2 linked regions of the Nothobranchius furzeri genome follow. The protein of the gene in region 1 purifies or fractionates together with the protein of each later gene. This does not show direct contact. Links are inferred from orthologs where the notes say so. Each region holds a gene or a part of one and is shown on either strand. Other genes may lie near its edges.

Evidence for each region.
Region 2: the proteins of ankyrin repeat and SAM domain-containing protein 6 (region 1) and nek7 purify together in Homo sapiens (affinity purification with mass spectrometry; 3 studies listed by BioGRID and IntAct, with this or other methods). This does not show direct contact. The link is inferred for Nothobranchius furzeri from reciprocal best matches to the Homo sapiens genes ANKS6 and NEK7.

The regions. Positions count from the first base shown.
Region 1 is NC_091747.1:36,736,533-36,740,046, reverse strand, and holds part of ankyrin repeat and SAM domain-containing protein 6, read left to right. Parts: intron 1-1,331; coding exon 1,332-1,376; intron 1,377-1,454; coding exon 1,455-1,659; intron 1,660-1,759; coding exon 1,760-1,866; intron 1,867-3,514.
Region 2 is NC_091748.1:66,087,404-66,091,395, reverse strand, and holds the start of nek7 (serine/threonine-protein kinase Nek7), read left to right. Parts: upstream 1-1,179; 5' UTR 1,180-1,402; intron 1,403-3,992. UniProt on the Homo sapiens protein: Protein kinase which plays an important role in mitotic cell cycle progression. Required for microtubule nucleation activity of the centrosome, robust mitotic spindle formation and cytokinesis.

The sequences.
Region 1 (3,514 bases):
TATATGTGCAGTAGTATATAGTAGTATATATGTGCAGTAGTATATAGTAGTTTATTTGTGCAGTAGTATATAGTAGTACATATGTGCAGGAGTATATAGCAGTTTATTTGTGCAGTAGTATATAGTAGTACATATGTGCAGTAGTATATAGTAGTATATATGTGCAGCAGTATATAGTAGTATACATGTGCAGTAGTATATAGTAGTTTATATGTGCAGCAGTATATAGTAGTATACATGTGCAGTAGTATATAGTAGTATATATGTGTAATAGTATATAGTAGTATATATGTGCAGTAGTATATAGTAGTATATATGTGCAGTAGTATATAGTAGTTTATTTGTGCAGTAGTATATAGTAGTATATATGTGCAGTAGTATATAGTAGTATAAATGTGCAGCAGTATATAGTAGTATATATGTGTAATAGTATATAGTAGTATATATTTGCAGTAGTATATAGTAGTTTATTTGTGCAGTAGTATATAGTAGTATATATGTGCAGCAGTATATAGTAGTATACATGTGCAGTAGTATATAGTAGTATATATGTGTAATAGTATATAGTAGTATATATGTGCAGTAGTATATAGTAGTTTATTTGTGCAGTAGTATATAGTAGTATATATGTGGAGTAGTATATAGTAGTATATATGTGCAGGGGGGAAGAAATCAGCTCAACAGAAAAACCGAAGGAAGCAACCAAAAGCAAAAAGAAGGCTGAAGCACTCCAAGTGACTAAATGTTTAATAGGTGCAAGCACAAAAATGCTGAGAAGATACAAGCAGGTGTTGAGACGTTAGTCCTTTTTTGTGCTTGCACCTATTAAACATTTAGTCACTTTGAGTGCTCCAGCCTTCATTTTGCTTTTTTCATGCCATTGTTCTTTGCTGTGGAGCACCAACTGGTGACTGGATTATGAGCAATGGATCTCAGAAGTGATTCCTTCTGTCTGATGTTTGTTTGTTTGTTTAACCCTGTTCTTCTTAGTTTACCAGACAGCAATGCTCCTTTAACAGCTTTAATTGCTGATTGCAGTAATATAAAAGTCAGCGACTGGAGCTCAGCATCAGCTGTTTAGATTCACATTAAATCTTTAAATTTCTTGTTTGATCTGGAAGTTACCTCGAAGATAATAACTTGTGTGAAAAACAAATGGAAAACTCCCAGTTTGACCCAAATACAGAAAATTTGGGTTGACGGATGCATTTTTATTGTTCTAAGTGTTGAAATCAGCAGTACTGAGTATTTTTGTACACAACCCCCCACTGCCTGATGTGTGGAGTCAGGCTAAGCATCATCTCCTCCGATTCTTTCTCATTTTTATACAGATAATGAGAGGAAAAGACCAGATGTGTTCAGCGCTCTCAAACTGGGTGAGTTCTCATGAACTGGTGGAAACTATAAGAAAATAACCAGTGAGAAAGACAGCAGCATGTTCTGTAATTACTCAGGAAATTCACAGCTGGTCAAAGACATCCTGGAGGAGGATCCTGCTCAGGTGAATTCATCCAATCAGGAAGGAGCGTCTCCTCTCATGATGGCGGCGGTGAGCGGTCAAATAGAGGTGGTGCAGCTGATGGTGGAGAAGAATGCAGACATAGATAAACAAGATGGTGTTCATGGGTGGACCGCATTAATGCAAGCCACTTATCATGGGTAGGTGGAGGCTTTGTTTGCTGTTTATAGAAGCAACCTTAGGATGTAAAGACATCTGACGCTTTAATGCTTACTGTTGTCTTCCTCCTGCCTTCCCCAGCAATAAAGAAATTGTCAAGTACCTGTTGAGTCAAGGCGCTGATGTCAGCCTGCGAGCTAAGAATGGATACACAGCCTTTGATCTGGTCATGCTGCTCAATGACCCGGGTAGGTTTTCTTATTAAAGCTTTACTGATAAAACTGTGTGGGAACAAATATTATTTCTGTTTTTCACTTCAGTTCAAACTATTTGGAATTTTGTATTTTCATCACATTTAGCTTATTTAAGTACCATTTTATTTGTACAGCAGAGCACTTTCAGGCACAACAGGTGGGTTGTGCAAAATGCTGAACAGTAGCGAAAGCAGGATGACACATCAAACAATTAAAAGTTCCTTATAAAAACCACAAGGAGCCTAACACACACACACACACACACACACACACACACACACACACACACACGCGCACACAATCTTCATCTTCATTCCTTTTATGAGAATTCATGTGTTGCAAACAACGCAACATAATTCAATTCAAATTCAAAAATATTTTATTAATCCCAGAGGGAAATTTGTTGATAAAAATTACTAGAATATTTTATACTTTTTAAAATAAGTTTTGTATGTTAAATGTTCTTTAAAATGCATTCTATTCTTTTTTTAAGTATTTGTTCTGCTGTAATTTATATGGTATGTTGGAACTTTCTTACCCTCACCTATGGTCATGAGCTTTGGGTAGTGACCGAAAGAACGAGATCGCGGATACAAGCGGCCGAAATGGTTTTTCTCTGCAGAGTGGCTGGGCTCTCCCTTAGAGATAGGGTGAGAAGCTTGGTCATCCGGGAGGGGCTCGGAGTAGATTCACTGCTCCTCCACATAGAGAGGAGCCAGTTAAGGTGGCTCGGGCATCTGGTCAGGATGCCTCCTGGACGCCTCCCTGGTGAGGTTTTCTGGGCACGTCCAACTGGGAGGAGGCTTAAAGGTAGACCCAGGACACGTTGGAGGGACTATGTCTCTCACCTGGCCAGGGAACACCTTGGGATTCCCCTGGAGGAGCTGGCCAAGTGCCTGGGAAGAGGGAAGTCTGGGCCTCTCTGCTTAGGCTGCAGTCCCCGTGACCCGACTCTGGATAAGCGGAAGAGGATGGATGGATGGATGGATGGATGTTAGAATGTTGGAAAACAGTCATTTTGACATAAGTAAAGATTATATTCTGATGAACACTCAACGGCCACTTTATTGGGTATACATGTCGAATTGCTCGTTAACGCAAATTACTAATCAGCCAATCACATGGTGGCAACACGATGCATTTAGGCATGTTGATATGGTCAAGACGATCCGCTGCAGTTCAAACCAAGCTTCAGAATGGGGAACAAAAGAGATTTAAGTGACTTTGAACATTGCACGGTTGCTGGTGCCAGACAGGCTGGTCTGAGTTTTTCAGATACTGCTGATCTGGGACGGGTTTGAGCTGGTAGAAAGACAACAGTACCTCAAATAACCACTCGTTACATCCAAGGTATGCAGAAGAGCATCTCTGAAGGCACAACACGTGGAACCTTGAGGCAGATGGGCTAGATCAACAGAAGACCACTCCGGGGGCCACTCCTGTCAACTAAGAACAGGAAACTGAGGCTACGATTCTCACAGGCTCACCAAGATTAGACAATAGAAGATTGGAAACATGTCTCCTGGTCTGATGAGTCTCAATTCTGCTGCGACATCCTGATGGTAGGGTCAGAATTTGGCGTCAACAACATGAAAGCATGGATCCATCCTGCCTTGTATCAATGGTCCAGGCTGGTGGTGTG
Region 2 (3,992 bases), on another chromosome or scaffold:
CTGTATGTCTTGGGTTAGACATTTACCCCAAAACATGACAGAAAAATACCGCGAATCGGTGAAAATACCGCGAATCGGCGAATTTCCCTTGAATAAGGATCCAAAGAAAAAATCCGCGAAGTGGTGAATCCGCAATAAACGAACCGCGAAGTAGCGAGGGATTACTGTATTTCTCTTTTCTTGTCTCTAAGTCAATGCAAAGTGTTTGAATAAAATTCCCTGTGGTAAAAACAACCTCTTCTGATTCTAAGGTAAGATTAATCTCTGGACCTTAATAAAAGTGTAAGAATATACCAACTATATTCCGCTACAGTAGAATAATCTAGAACAGGTTTGAACAGTGTGGGTGTTGCAGTTTTTGAGCTAGAGCAGATTAAAGATGGTCAGAGTAGAGAAAAATTGGGTGTAATGGCCCCTTAGCCGTTTGCCAAATCGGAAGCTGGAATTGGAAGCTAACTTCAGCCTCGTTGCAATTAGCCAGCCCAGCAACACTGTATCCAAATTTATGGGCTCCATCAATTGAAGGATTCTGGTCAATAGAGAGCTGTTGGTACTAGACACCGGGTCCTTCGTTGACCGAGATATGTCGTAAAGTTTTACTTTAATAAAATGTATTAAATTCATCATTGCAAAGTTCCACAGCATTCTGCATTGAATTCATGAGCCATATGTGTTTTGGTCCATCAAGGTGTTACGAGGTGGTTGATCTAAGGATGTCCAGAACCAGGAATGTTGGACAAAGGTTTTTTTTAATTTGTTTTTGTTTCTTCAAACAACTTCAATTAAATAAATATGATAAAAGCTTTTATTAAAAGTTACTCAGGAGTAATCAAATTTGTATTCTGAGAGCTACTTCACTGAAGCTTTAACAACGAATAAACTATTCACATTTCACTTCACATTTTCATGTAGAACTGTTAAACTGTAGAAGCTTGAATCTGCGGTGTCCAAGTCTGCAGCCTTGAATCTGCAGTTAGTCTTGAATCTGCAGTTGCAGTTTCACGTTTGTCCTTTAGAAGGCGCTGTCTCAAAAACAGTACAAGCATCTGCAGTCGGCATTCGATGAACTGGCTCATCTCGATAAAACTCGCGGTACTTGAGGAGTTCCCGCGGGAGTGCTGTGGTGTTTACATTATTGGATCAGCAGTGTGCTGAGAGGGGGGCCTTCTGCTGGAGTCTGTCTGAAAACACTTCTCTACTGACTCCACAGCACAGGCGCTCTCCGAGAAAAAACTTCGTAGTGTACAGGCAAAGCGCCACGCAGTAAGGAGGCCTGTTCAGTCCACTTTTTGTCGCGACCTTGGAAAGAAAATAAAAGACAACAACAACACCGCCTTGACCATCGGAGGAGTTGTTTTAAAGGTGAAAGAGGAATAGCTTTGCAACAGATTCCCACTTCCTGGTAAGTACCGAGACAGCACTAACTGACAGCGGACTTAAACAAAACTGTAGCTAACTTATCTCTTCCATCTTCCTATAAATAGTTTGTGTTTAACTTGTTGGAGAACTAACAGCCACATAAAACCAGTAATTGTGACTAGTTTTAGCTCAACTTGAGTTGGTACTCAAACTAACTTGTACGAAGTCTTGCTAACTAGCTTTCCCTGTTCTCAGCTAGCATGTGGCTTTGCTAACTTGAACTACCATAAGTGGCACAAACAACTTTGACAGTCAGCGTTAATAAACACATTTATGAGTGTTCTGGAGAACATTTACTTAACCTGACTTTCGGAACACAAGATTCGTGTAGCTAACACGTGATGGGAAGTTTTACAGCGATTACTTACTGTCATGCTTCACGGACGTCACACCTAATAATTTAAAACCACATCGGTATGTAGATTTCTGCTTTCATATCTATTTTACTCCTTATTAGGATAATCTGTTAAATTCAAACTATTACTCAGAATATCATCAAACTTTCAAACATTACATAGCATGTCTGTGTCCCTTAAAGTATGCTGCATAGTTCTAGAACAAGTTTTTTTATTCGTGGTTTTTAGTGGTTGAAACTTACAATACTGGCTTACTGTCTATGTGTATATACATATGCGTTTGTTATTTATTTATTTTCTTCAAATTATCCTCCTAAGTGTTGGTGCTGCTGGAACAAGTACATTTCCCCACTGTGGGACCAATAAAGTCTATTCTATTTTCTATTCTATACCACATCAATGTCTTTGTTTTTAAATTACACATTTTAAGTTGAACATTTTTTTTAATGTGTTAATCAGACAAGTGGATAATTTTTGTTCTTCCATTATTATGTCATTATCAAATGAATCCATCAGTAATTTTATATTATCAACTAAGTGAATGTCTTGAAGTAAAAACTAAGGGTAGACAGATATATCAGTTGGGCCGATGAATCGGTCCGATAACAGTTTTTTACATATCGGCATCAGCCAATATTTGTTAAAGCTGATTTAAAGTCAGGTGCATTCTCAGGCAGCCCAATTCTGTTGCAGAATTTGATTTAAATTTTGAGTTCACTAATAACATCTATATAATAAATACTCTAAATTAACTTTAGGTGTCTGACTTTAACACTGAGCAGTGTACAAAGTTAAGATTTAACAGTTGGTTAAATGCAAAGTTCAAAAACTGATTCAGCTTCAGAAATTTTGTTTATCACCTGATGTTATTAATGACAATTTATCATGAAAATACAGTCGAAAATGTCTGAATGTAGGCCATGAAAATCGGCAGTACATATCGGCTGACCATGTCTCCTACATATCGGTATCAGCAATAGAAAAAACAATTTCCGTCGATCTCTAGTAAAAACATTGTCCTTTTTAAGGTGGAAAACCTATTGTTCTGCTGCAGCTAACCTAGAGTCCTGCTCTCGATGTATCTGAATTTTGTTTTTGTTCACAGTTTTAATGGAACAATTAATCAGTGACAACGTCATAGTCGTTTCTGACACAACTAATGCAGCGTATCATATTGGGCATCAGGAGGTTGAGCAGGTTGTCCAGTAATCGGAAGGTTGTAGGTTCAATTCCGGCTCTGTTGTGTCCTTGGGCAAGACACTTAACCCACTTTGCCTGTTGGTGGTGTTCGAAGGGACCGGTGTCGCCTGTGCTGTGAAGCCTTGCCTCTGTCATTGTGCCCCAGGGCAGCTGTAGCTACATCGTAGCTCATCACCATCATTGTGTGAATGGATGAGTGATATACTGTAGTGTAAAAACGCTTTGAAGTCCCTTGAATCTGAAAGGCGCTTTACAAGCGCAGGTCACTTTTCATTTATCATCTCTTGTTTTTGCCTAATGAAAGAGTGCTGAATGGATTCTGCCACCAGACTGAGCCAATTAACTCTAACCTCATGATAGCTCAATTAAGAGTTAGTACTTTTATTAATTGAAATATTAACTTGTGTGTGTTTACAAATATCACATAGCAATCAGTCTTGAGGTTACTTGTTTGTTGAAAGCTGAATCCAGTAAAATGTTGCTGTCATTGCCCATCACAGCTGAATTACACGTCGTACCTACACATAACAGAAGGATGATCCACATAAAAGTTAGTGGGAGTTGACAAACCTTGTTGACCCAATTATTACTCGCCTCTCTGTTGCCACATCCGATCATCATCAGATGATGCTGGAGTCTGCCAGCATCATCAGGTGATTGAGATGAACACTGGCTGGCTCTAATAAGTTGAAAATCAAAGACATGACGGCCACATGAACAAAAGTTTGCATCAGTCTCTGTGGTGACGGATTTCTGCCAGTAGGTCTCCCTTTGATTTCCTGTTAATGGGAGGAGGATTATTCATGACAGGCTCTGGCTCAGTTAAATTATTTACTTTTGTTCTGTTGTTTGGATAAAAACAGGTGTAAATAGATGAGGGAGGATCAGTTATAGTTGGTCTGGAAAGATTAAAAAATTGGGTATTTAACTATTTTAACAGAAGCAAAACCGACAATAGCATCAAGTTACAAAGGAAAATGTATCTTTTAAAAGTGCAGATTGGAGCTCAGACTGGAA